Drosophila melanogaster: one gene and its partners. The protein of the gene in region 1 interacts with the protein of each later gene in a pairwise test. Each region holds a gene or a part of one and is shown in the gene's direction. Other genes may lie near its edges.

Evidence for each region. The genes of interacting proteins can lie anywhere in the genome.
Region 2: the proteins of CenG1A (region 1) and RPA2 interact in a two-hybrid assay, tested with the Drosophila melanogaster proteins (one large-scale study listed by BioGRID).
Region 3: the proteins of CenG1A (region 1) and PGAP5 interact in a two-hybrid assay, tested with the Drosophila melanogaster proteins (one large-scale study listed by BioGRID).

What each region holds. Positions count from the first base shown.
Region 1 is NT_033779.5:13,833,745-13,838,570, forward strand, and holds the start of CenG1A (centaurin gamma 1A), read left to right. Parts: upstream 1-1,819; 5' UTR 1,820-2,312; coding exon 2,313-2,688; intron 2,689-4,826. Other genes in the region: Polr2C (RNA polymerase II subunit C), read left to right, coding at 1-507; mRpS23 (mitochondrial ribosomal protein S23), read right to left, coding at 553-916, 978-1,139, 1,195-1,238.
Region 2 is NT_033779.5:20,924,424-20,928,100, reverse strand, and holds RPA2 (replication protein A2), read left to right. Parts: upstream 1-1,953; 5' UTR 1,954-2,054; coding exon 2,055-2,067; intron 2,068-2,125; coding exon 2,126-2,187; intron 2,188-2,250; coding exon 2,251-2,837; intron 2,838-2,926; coding exon 2,927-3,005; 3' UTR 3,006-3,126; downstream 3,127-3,677. Other genes in the region: Nthl1 (Nth-like DNA glycosylase 1), read left to right, coding at 302-412, 477-944, 1,010-1,180, 1,237-1,653.
Region 3 is NT_033779.5:8,197,344-8,201,203, forward strand, and holds PGAP5 (Post-GPI attachment to proteins 5), read left to right. Parts: upstream 1-1,609; 5' UTR 1,610-1,699; coding exon 1,700-2,118; intron 2,119-2,185; coding exon 2,186-2,690; intron 2,691-2,758; coding exon 2,759-2,937; coding exon of another isoform or gene 2,938-2,938; exon of another isoform or gene 2,939-3,002; coding exon 3,003-3,012; 3' UTR 3,013-3,309; downstream 3,310-3,860. Other genes in the region: CG8460 (uncharacterized protein), read left to right, coding at 1-222, 289-478, 536-739, 806-1,205, 1,270-1,411; SLC5A11 (Sodium/solute co-transporter-like 5A11), read right to left, coding at 3,542-3,617, 3,674-3,860. UniProt on the Drosophila melanogaster protein: Metallophosphoesterase.

The sequences.
Region 1 (4,826 bases):
AGCGAGGAACAGACGCGCCACGTGACCACCGCCGATCTCAAGTCGAGCAATGCCAAGGTCCTGCCGGTGACGTCCCGCAACCAGGGTGAGGAGGACAACGAGTACGGCGAGAGCAACGATGAGATCCTCATAATTAAGCTGCGCAAGGGGCAGGAGCTGAAGCTGCGCGCCTACGCCAAGAAGGGATTTGGCAAGGAGCACGCCAAGTGGAATCCTACCGCAGGCGTGTGCTTCGAGTATGATCCGGACAACTCCATGCGACACACTCTGTATCCCAAACCTGATGAGTGGCCAAAGAGCGAGCACACCGAACTGGAGGACGACCAGTACGAGGCGCCCTACAACTGGGAAGCCAAGCCAAACAAGTTCTTCTTCAACGTCGAATCCGCCGGTGCCCTTAAGCCTGAGAACATTGTGGTCATGGGTGTGCAGGTGCTGAAGAACAAGCTGTCAAACCTGCAGACGCAACTCAGCCACGAGTCCCAAAACGATGCATTGGCCGTTTGATTTACATATAACAAGTTTATTTTAAGTTTATAAAAGATGTTCCGCCTAATCCTTGAACAAGCTGTCTATGTTAATGCCCACGTTCGCTTCCTTTTTTCCCTTGGGAGCAGGTGGTGCTGGTGACGACGTGATTTGCTGGCTCACCACAGCCTCCTTGAAGTCGCTCAGCAGCTGGGACTTGGATTCCGAATCCTGCTCTGGCAGGCATTCCTCTGGGGTAGTCTCCAGGCGGGCCTGCTGGCGCTGCTCCGCCAAAAGATCCAGTGCGGTCTCGTAGATCCTTTGCTCATCCAGGGCTCCTTGTCCTTTCAGGTCCTGGTATATTTGGACAAATTGCTGTGACTGCGTGCTGCGCCTGTGGTCAAACAGGGATATCGTTTCCTGGGGTTTGTTTTCTTTATGCAGCTTTCTGTTGGTGTACAAGATTAGTTCAGTATTGGTATAAGCCCGACTGCAGGTGAAAAACATACGCTCGGACAACATCCTCGGCATAAAATATCTGGCGCACTGGAATCTCAGGCGCGGGTCTGTCGAATCGGGGCTCCAGTTTCGGCGGAAAGGCGGCGTACACATCGTACCAAATGGGTTTATCCTCGGTTTTCATAGCTCCACCGCGTAGGAGGCCCTGAACTCTGCAAGAGTCGGGTGTTTAAAGCTTGCACAGATATTTCGTAGGAGGGTAAATACCTGGTGAAGATTGTGCCAATCTTTTCAAGCCTACTTTGTGCCATTTTGGTAAAGTTTTAATTAATTAAATGTGTTTTTTAACAAATTACGATTACGACATGCAGTGCATGAACTTATCGGTAAGCAGCCGGTGCCTATCGATACCATCAGAGTTGCCGCTGTGAGCTTAACGGACTTATGGCTTATAAGAGCCTAGAGCGCTCCAATTGGCATTTAGACGGCAAGTGAAATATTTATTTTTTTAAATTGGTTGAATTGTAGTTACAAAGATATTGACTTAAAATCTATTCATATATATGGCACTTAATTGAAATAAATTAACTACATTATGTTACTATCGATACCAGTCCAAACAAATATAGTATTTATGTCTATTACGGTGATTTTTCTGGTTGGCGTTTTTGGTATTTCTCGTGCACTTCATAGTACAGTGCTTACTCCATAAGTGTAATATTCCGAATTAATCCCGTGATTACATGTGTGTCTGGTGTAATGAAATCACTGTACACTATCTAACCATTACTTGTAAATTAATAGTACAAAATCTTGTTAGTTAAAAATTAATCACCCACTTGAGTTGGTGGAAGTTCGCTCTGTAGAGTGACCACTGTACCTGCTCTTCATCCACAGTTTGTTGTGGAACGCCTCGCACCAACTACATACTTTTACATACTCGGCTGCGCTCGACGTAAATTCTCGCACTTTTCTGTTGGTTTCGTAGTAAATTTTCGCCTTTTCGCTGTCAAATAAAGCGCACGCATCGGGAAAAACGGAGAAAAGTGCAAAATAACTAAATATAAAGTGTATCAAATATAACTGTTAGAAAAATGCCATTTGATTGTGTACTGTAATAGCGTAAACAAAAGTGTTTTGATTGTTTGTGCAGGTGCAAAATCGATCTAGTGAACTGAAAACTGCGACTCCAAAATCGGTCGAGTTAGCGCATTTATTGCCCCGATTGTTGTTATTGGAAAATGTTGTTCGTTTGGGAAAACTGTGCCATCGCAATTTTGTAGTGTTCGTGCCTGTGTGTGTGCCGTGTGTGCGTGACGAGTGTATGTGCCAGTAAATTAAGTTAATTAAAAACTTAGCTAACTCTCGATTCCACCGCCCCCGCCATGAGTAACTACCATCCGCATTCGCATCCGCACGCGCTCTCGCATCCGCATCCGCAGCAGGTCCATAATCAGCTGCAGAATCCCCACCAGAACCAGTTGCCGCCCCCGCAACGCCATAACCATGCCGCGCCCACTGCAGCAGCCTCCGCCTCCGGAGCGCCATCATCATCAGCATCGGCATCGGCATCAGCATCTATCCTGGTGGCCCATCCTCCCCAGCCGCTCATCAGCAACTCGCTGGCCATCCGGCAGGAGATCCAGCGATTCGAGAGCGTCCACCCATCCATCTATGCCATATACGAACTGATCGATCTGCTGCCCATGGCCGATGCCCAGATAGCCCAGTCCATTCGGGACCATGTGGTCTGCATTGAAGGTAAGTCCCCCTCTATTAGTGCACCTAGTTTAATGATTATAATTAGTTACACTAGAGTTTAGCCATTGAATGGTAAAGCGGTTTCTGTAATTAGTTTTGCAATCAAAGTTTATGTTTGTCCACCTGTTTATACTGTAAATATTGCAGGCTTAACTTCCTATTAAATGGCAATAAGGAGATCAAGTGGCCTAATTGTCCAATTAGATATTGCTGAAAAGTTTATGATGTTTAGCTTAGGTTTCGAGTTATAGATTCTCATTTCCACCTGTTAATACTAAGTCTATCCAATTTGGGTCGTTACACTCTTTGTAATAAATAAATAAATGTGATTAGTATAGCATATAATGTTTATAAGATGTACGACCAAACCCGACTTAACCTGAAAGTATTTTAATGAATATATTTCAACGCTTAAGTGCTTGAAAGCAGCTGCACAAATGTTTTGCTAGAAAATAGGCTTTTAAACGTAAAATGTGTAAGTGCTAGATTCCAAATATAACAGTACTCTTATTATATATTTCGTTTGTTTTTTAATGGCTTGCAAATTTATGCACCATAACAAGGAAATGCTCTGCTTGTGAATTCGAAACTTTTGCTCAAGGGTCACTGGTTTTAATGGAGCATTCGGAGGTGTGCCCCAGAAATGATGAGCAACTAAATGTGCTATAAATTATGCAAAGACACAGTAAAGAAAAGGGTTTCAAAGTCGGAAAGTGGAGTCTATCGTGACTTTCGATGGACTGACTGGTCGTCCCATTGAGTGTGTCAAGTCGGCGGGAAGAGATGCGAATCCTTTGATTAAACATGTTTATCGCTGCAATTGTATCCACACCTTCATTGTGCCCCTTATCGCGAGCGTCTGGACTTGTGGTTGCCTTTGTTTGGAGTGCTTTATGCTAATCTTAGACCGAAAATCTATGAGGCAACATCAACCCCCGGTTGATGGCGAGGATTATTGTTGCCAAAATGCCCATTCAAGCGGATCGCAGCGGGCCCATTGAAAGTGTTGTCGCTCTGTTCATGGAAAAGAAAGAGCTTCGTTTTTTGTTTAAAACAAGCTTTTCTGCCCAATTTTCAGCATGTGTGTGTGTGTGTGTGTGTGTTTGTATGCGGGGACTGAAATTTGATGCCCTCTTCCTCTTTGTGGCAGGCAGCAAAACTGAATACTGAAAACTGAAAACCGTTCACGAAATCAAACCGAAAACCGGTTCCTGAAATGGTTTATTAGAAAATCTCTGGCAGAGGCAGCAACAACGAAAGGCTCACCAAAAATGTAAACAAAATTGTCAGAGGCAGCGGCAGCGGCAGCAACCTCATGAATACTCGAATACTCCACTCTGTGTCGTGCAAACCAGATATGTACGAAACCCGAGAATACGAGAGCGTACGATCTCGTAAACCGTTTCGCACGCGACTTTCTTATTGGCATTGACCCGCAACACGGGCACATTGGTCCAATATGTACAAATATATACATATATAACTATATCGAATACCGATTCTAATTCGCTGTCAGCGTGATGAACGATGCTTTCGTTGGACTCTGGTTGCCGTTTTCCCGTTCCAAATGCTTATTTATAGGTTTCGGTAACGGTCTCCAATAAATCGAGAAGGTCAAAAGTATCTAACGAAAATAAATAAAAGAAATTCTGTGCTATCTGTTCGTTAACCTTTTCATTTGAAATCGATTTAGAAGCTATATAGCATAAATAATCATACAGCAGCTTACTATACATAGCTTACTACTTAACAAATAAAAACGTTTATGGACAATAATCTAAAGAATCGATATAATCTCAGAACTTAATGCCCGTTTTTTTTTTTTTTTTGGTTAAGAGCTCTTGCGTTTAAAGTGCCCCCTTAATATTGTAAGCTGCTGACTCACCGAAATCAGTTCGAGTCTTAAACCACATTTAACTGCTAAGATGTCATTGAACTTTTAGCGAATCAAAGTTTAGTTACATATTTAAAAGGCACTCAAGAAAAATAATGTGTTGCTGATTATTTACGAATGAGATTTTTATTTATGTATCTTATAGAATTTGATGCTTCCTCAGCGAGATTTGTAATCCAATTAGGCCAAGGCCTTGATATTTTAGACAAAATTCAGCAACAATGGCTGCTTAAATATTTCTGTA
Region 2 (3,677 bases), 7.1 Mb from region 1:
TGTTAAATTTTATGAGCTGTTGATAACGAAATCGAAAAGTTTGTACTTTTTTTTAAATCAAGTGCATTAAAATTAAATTTGTGGCTTAAAATGTATTGTAATAGCTTATAACTTATTATGCTGTAGCATACGAAAAATGGTTCTTAAAATCCTAACTTGCATGAGTTGAATATTTCGAAATTTCAAATGTTCCCGGCTACTTAGTTGTAAAGTGTGGCCGTTTCTCCTACATCGAAATCGATAGGTTCGAAATGTAAACAAACATGGAAACTGAAACTGAAGCGCAGAAATTGTATTAGCTATGGCCAAAAATGTAAAGAAATTAACGTTGGCCAACAAGTTGGCAAAACGCGGAGATCTTATAAAACCCACGGAAATAAAAAGTCGTCCAAATAGGGCGGATAACGTGAGGGTAGGCGGAAATGCATGATAAACAATGAAATTGATACTCAAGACGCAGTTTCTAAATCTTCCAGGATATAGAGGATCTGGTTGGTGTATCTGCTGGCGCAGCAGGATCGAGTAGCTCAGTGTTCTTCTCCCCCGTGCAAACCCGCAAGCAGCGTCTCTTAAATGGGGAAGCCGTGAAGAAAACTAACATTAAAATGGAGCCCTTGTCTCCAGCTCGAGTGGCACCCAAAAAGTTTAGAAAGGATGATCGCATGGTAACCAGAGTTCAAATGGGTTCGGCTACTGTGGTCATATGCAAGGTGGTCCCTGATGCTGTGGACTCCCCAGTGAGAGTGGATAAGATAAGAGAGGAGGTGGAACCCCAAATAAAACAGGAAGCTCCGGAGGATTCCCCTTCTTTTTCTGAGGTGCAAGCACCACATCCTTTGTGGTTTAACCACCTAGAAAACATTCGCATTATGAGAAACTCCAGAACTGCGCCAGTGGACACCATGGGATGCCACCGATGCGCCGATTTAAAAGCAGACTCGAAGGTATTTCCAATAAGTGGAATTAAGTACATAGAAGAATATGTTACAAGCAAACAACTTCCTTGCAGACCCAGCGCTTCCAAAACTTAGTGGCATTGATGCTGTCCAGTCAAACCAAAGACCAAACTACTTATGAAGCCATGAATCGCCTTAAAGACCGAGGTCTAACTCCACTGAAAGTAAAGGAAATGCCAGTGACTGAACTCGAGAATTTACTGCATCCCGTATCCTTCTACAAGGTTTGGTGGAATTAATAATAAATAAATATATCGCACTTACTCTCGATCTCTTCCAGAACAAAGCTAAATACCTCAAGCAAACCGTGGAGATACTGACGGACAAGTATGGTTCGGACATTCCAGATAATGTCAAGGACCTTGTAGCTCTTCCAGGAGTTGGCCCCAAGATGGCCCATATATGCATGGCAGTGGCCTGGAACAAGATAACCGGAATCGGAGTGGACGTCCACGTCCACCGCCTTTCTAACAGGCTGGGCTGGGTGCCGAAGCCCACCAAGGAGCCCGAGCAAACCCGTGTGGCGTTGGAGAAGTGGCTGCCATTCAGCCTCTGGTCAGAGGTCAATCATTTGTTCGTGGGATTCGGACAAACCATTTGCACCCCAGTGAAGCCAAATTGTGGGGAGTGCCTGAACAAGGACATTTGTCCTTCAGCCCATGCTGAAACTAAAGAAAAAAGGAAGAAAGACCGATAGGAAAGAGGTTCAGCGAACGCTGAAAAAGGTTTTAGGTTTCTAAGTGTTTCTGAAATTATTAGTGCTAAGAAAAATATTGTGTTACCCATAAGAAAATAAATGAATTATTAAGGGGGCTGTAAGTCCTGTAAAAAATAAAAAATTTTGTGGTTTTTCTTTTTTTGTTTTAACTGAAAAAGGTATATTCCCAATTTATTACAATAATTCAGTTTTTCAGGAAAAATATTGAAATATTGACACTACAATATTTCGTATTTCTTATATACTAAATAGATGTTATTCCTACGTGTTCGACCTACGGCCACACTATCAGCTCTACGTTCGCGCGTTTTATTGTTTACCAGCGGCCCTTGTGAAATTATATAGAATACTCAATTACAAATCCCTCAAAAGCCAAGAAAATGAATGATTCATGTAAGTATAGCCCGTAGCTCAGAGAAATTAAGGGAACTAATAACGAAGCTCGTTTTAGTTGGAGATTTCAATGCCACACAAACTGCGCCAACTGGAGCCGCCAGCAATCAAAAGGGAGAAGTAAGTGAGTGAGACGCCAGTAAAGTTGCACAACCTAACATGATTCCGTATGATTGCAACTAGGGAATAGTGCCCCTGGTGGTGAAGCAGATTGTGGACGCCCCAGAGGGAAACATCGAGTTGTTCGGCATGCAGTACGCCATGGCATGTGTTGTGGCCATAGTGCGGAACGTGGAGACTTCCTCGACGAAGATCACCTACACCCTGGAGGATCATAGCGGCAGGATCGATGCGCACTACTGGCTTGAGGAGGGCGACGCTCTCAAGGCACCCGAAGTAATGGTCAACAACTACGTGAAGGTCTACGGCACCACCCGGTCGCAAGGCGGTTCCAAAACCCTAATGATCTTCAAGCTACTGCCCGTTTTGGATCCCAACGAGGTGTGCACCCACCTGCTGGAAGTACTCAATGCCCGCTACAGGGCCGAGGACTACCAGAGCAAGGGTGGAGCTGGAGCTGGTGCAGGGGCTTCTTCCGGCTCAGGCTCCATAGCTGATTTCACCGCCTCCCAGAGCTCGGCCATTGTCAGTGGGCTGGAGCCCAAGCAGCAGGCCGTATTCCAGGCCATCAAGAGCAATGTTTCCGAGGAGGGCATCTCCCGCAAGGAACTGAAAGCCAAATTCTCCCACATCAGCGACTCTGAGTTGACGTAAGTTGTTTATCCAAAACTATTGCATCATTTGATATTCTTTATTAATTAATATTAATTATAACATTTTATTGTTCCTATTTTTACAGCAACATTCTGGACTTTATGATTTCCGAGGGACACATTTATTCCAGCATTGACGCAGATCACTTTATTTGCACAATGTAAATCAAATCGTGTAACCACTATTTAATTTAAAAATGCGTATTGAATATATGTATTAAGTTTTTGAAAAACGGGAACATTTTCCATATATTAGTTGTACATTAAATATTTCTTATATAATCAGAAAGTGATTTTGGGATATTTTTTATTGGGACTGTTGAAAATGTGTATTTGAGGAAATCTTGCTCTTCAAGTTGCCGGTGTATGTGTATATTTACGGCTTATCATATGAAAAGTCTTCGGATTCATAGTCCTAAGGGAATTTAAAATATCTTACAAAAAAGATAGAAAACCTGAAATATTTTAATTATTTTATGTTTAATTAATATTCTTGTTCATTTATAAAATTGTAATGGATTATAAAGTTTTTTTGAATCGTTTCACTTTGCTTCATTTGATAAAAGGATGTGATAAGTTCATACCGCTTTATTTCATTATCAATTTATTTTTTAGATATATAACTAACTAACTTTTAACGCTAGTAAGTTAATTGTTTAATTAGGTAATGCATATTTTGATTGTATATCGGGCATAGTTAGATCGGATTGCAAAAAATTTATAAAATTCATTCAATGCGTTTTATTTCATTAGTTTTTGAATTTATCATAGAAAATTACAAGCTCAGGAATCAAAATCAAAACATAATAGGCATGCAAATCAAAAATTAAGATTAAT
Region 3 (3,860 bases), 5.6 Mb from region 1:
CTGACCACCGTCCGCGGAACCCTCGCCCCGGACAGCCACAAATCGAAGAGCAAGACCAAGGAGAGTGCTCTGCGTGGCGGTCCGCAAGACCAAGATGTTTTCGATCTGGGCTTGGTTAGTCCCGAGCCCCTGGCCAAGGATATCGTGAGCAATCATCGCGGGTACTTCAAGGAGACGGGATTGCGACGCTTCAATGGCACCACCTTGGGCTATGTGACTCCAGTAAGCAGAGGACGTACTCCCACATTTTGTGCATGTGTATTAATCTATTGTTTGCTTTGCTTGTAGTGGAACTCGCATGGCTATGATGTGGCTAAGATATTTGCCAAGAAGTTCGACATTATCTCGCCGGTTTGGCTGCAGATTGTTAAGCAGGGAGATCGTTATGCCGTAGCCGGAACCCATGACATCGATGCGGGTTGGCTAACCGATGTCCGGAGAAAGGGTAAACAGGTGCACAATCAGCGAACGGTTAAAGGTATGAGAAAATGATACCCGCTGGCGTTAGTCTAAACTCACTTTCCTTGGATTTCAGTGTTTCCCCGTTTTATATTCGATCACTTCACTGATCGGGACATTAAGCTCTTGCTTAGCGACGCCCAGGAGAGGACGAAAGTCAACGACGTGCTGATCAAGTGCTGCAAGGATAATGGCTTCGATGGACTCGTCCTGGAGGTGTGGTCCCAGCTAGCTGGACGCATAGATGACAAAATTCTGTACACACTGGTTTTGCAAATGGGTGAGCTTAATGCGTTGTAACCCTTTGTTTGTTATTAATAATTTAAATTTCTTTTACGTCACTTAGCCAAAGAACTACAAAAGCAACAGCTGCGACTCATTTTGGTCATTCCTCCATTCCGCAAGGAAACAGGCCACCTTTTTGGAGAAAAGCACATGGACAAGCTGTTCAAGCACATATACGCCTTCTCTCTGATGACTTACGACTTCTCCAGCGTGCAGCGTCCCGGAGCAAATGCACCATTATATTTCGTCCGTAAGGCTGTGGAGACAATAGCTCCAGAAGGTTGCGCTGATATGACGGCTAAGAGGGCTAAAATTCTGTTGGGACTGAATATGTACGGGAATGATTACACGCCCGATGGAGGTGGACCCATCACCTTCTCCCAGTACTTGGATCTAGTCAGGCATGTGAAGAAGCACCTAACTTACGATGAGCGGGATGTGGAAAATTTCTTTGAAATCAAGTGAGTTTTCTACTGCAGCGTATGCAGAGTGTAAGGCGAAGATGATGAATATCATTACTTTCAGAAACGATGACGGTCGCCACATTGTCTTTTATCCCACTCTCTATTCCATAAACGAGCGAATAAAGCTCGCCCAGGAACTGGGCACTGGCATTTCAATCTGGGAACTTGGCCAAGGCCTAAACTATTTTTACGATCTCTTCTAGTTAGCCTGTAAGCAGCATGCAATGCACAATACCTATTCCAAATAAAGGAAATTATATATAAGCCATAATGCTTCATAATTTTTCCAATTTACAATTTTAGTAACCAACTTTGAAATGAGGCGCCAATTTGTTAGTCAACCGACAGCCGCTTGACAGCACTGTTTAATTTATCGAATATTTTAAATTTATATCGGGCCGTTTACTCGTTTAAAACGATACTATCGCTGATGGTTTTTCAGCTCTAGAATAAATTTGTTATTATTTTTTTAGCCGGTGAGAAATCCTGAAATGCGCTTTCTTTATGCCTGCTTTGTGATCGTGCTGTGCGCCCTGATCTTCTGCGAATATGTGGCGGACTTTGTGGTGCTGCAAAAGTGCAAGTGGCCGGAGATAAAGCGAAAGAAGTATGTGGACGATCCGCTTAGGGCAATGATTCTAGCGGATCCGCATCTGCTGGGACCGCATCGTGGTCACTGGCTGGACAAGCTCTACCGGGAGTGGCACATGACGCGGGCCTTTCAGGCGGCATCACGTCTGTTCCAGCCCGACGTGGTCTTCGTCTTGGGCGATTTGTTCGACGAGGGCGACATGGTCAGCGACAAGCAGTTCCAGGAATATGTGTGGCGCTACCTGAAGATGTTCCACCTACCACCGGGAATTCCGCTCATCAGTGTCGCGGGAAATCATGACGTGGGCTTCCATTACAAGTAAGTCAATAAGAGACTATGTGTATTCCCTGATATTTGTTAAACCGCGCTCTTGTGTGTTTTCCAGAATGCATCCCTTCTTTATGTCGCGTTTTGAGAGTTATCTGAACAACTCCTCGGTCAATTTGTACACCATTAAACAAATCCATTTTGTGGTGATAAATTCGATGGCTATGGAAGGTGATGGTTGCATGTTTTGCACCCAGGCCGAGGATCAGTTGAAAAACATTTCGAGGACTTTGTACTGCATGAAGTATCCACTAGAGGCGGAGTGCGCTCGCACCAGGCGGCACCCGTACAGCCAGCCAATTCTATTGCAGCACTTTCCCACCTACCGCATTTCGGATACCATGTGCGAGGAGCACGATGCTCCGTACATCGAGGCGTTCCGAGAGCGGTTTCATGTGCTCTCCAAGGATGCCACGGATATGCTGGGAGAGCTGCTTAAGCCAAGGCTGGCATTCGCCGGTCATTCACATCACTTCTGTCACAGTGTAAATCGACTGGGCATCGATGAGTACACGGTGGCCTCATTCAGCTGGCGAAACAAAGTTAATCCCAGCTTTATGCTGGTGAGTATTATATTTGCTCTTACGATTGTTAGCCCTTCGAACTTGTACTAACATGCCATAACTTTTAGGCCACTATAACCCCCGATGACTATGTGGTTTCCAAGTGCAAAATGCTGCCACAGCAGTTTGTCTTCAATAGCTATCTGAGTGCTGGCATTCTTTGCCTAATTGTCATCGGGTTCCAGCTACGAAAGTGCATCCAAAGCAGAAGACAGTCGTCGGCTGTAGATCATCGGAAGGTTAATTAGTATGTATAAGCATGCCTATACAAGGCATATCCTCTTTTGTGATTTACGCCTGATTGGGGCTTAGTTTAGACTAGATACGCCAGATTCCAGACTCAGATCCCAGATCCAGATCCAGACAGAGGTCATATCATTCCTGCTGCTTTGCAACCGCTTAACTATATTCTAGGTGTACAAAATTCGGATAGTATGTATGATCTATTTATTGAATTTATCACAGACATTATGCTTGTAAAGTCAAACGGAATACATAATGAGACACAGTCTGCTGACTACAAATCGAAAATGCCAAAAAAATAATGCTTGAACAAAGGCTGGAAAGTAAAGAACGGATACAAACAGAACAATTAAATAAAGCTATATTATAATACATTTACTATATAACGTTAATGATTGTGCACTCTGTATTCTGAGATGCAGATTCATAGGTTCCTGTACTTCGGTTTATGTCTTCCAATATCTGGATCACATTGTACTAGACTAGGCTATCTATAAGGTAACTACCACAAAGCAACTACAACTACAAACTATGCTAACAAAACAGGGTGTGGAATTCAATGCCATCAATTCCATTAGTTTGGCACAGGAAGTTCTGGTTCGTCTATTTTAGGATACGTTTAAGAGGTTTTTGTGCGCCTGCGCATGGAGATTGCGACCACTAAAGCATTCTTTTGGAAGGAATCTAGAAGAAAAAATGGGTTTAATAACAGAGGTTAAACATGTGGTTACAAAAATTACCTGTGAATCACTGGTGATATTAGATCCGGATCTAGTGTTTTCATATTTGTGGGTTTGGTCACAAGGGAGACTAGTGCACCTACCACAATGACTGTGGCCACACCAATGGGATTTATCCAGTGGTAGGACAGTCGGTACAGTGGAAAAACTTGCTCCTCATCTACCCATATATTTTCCCGAAGCGTTA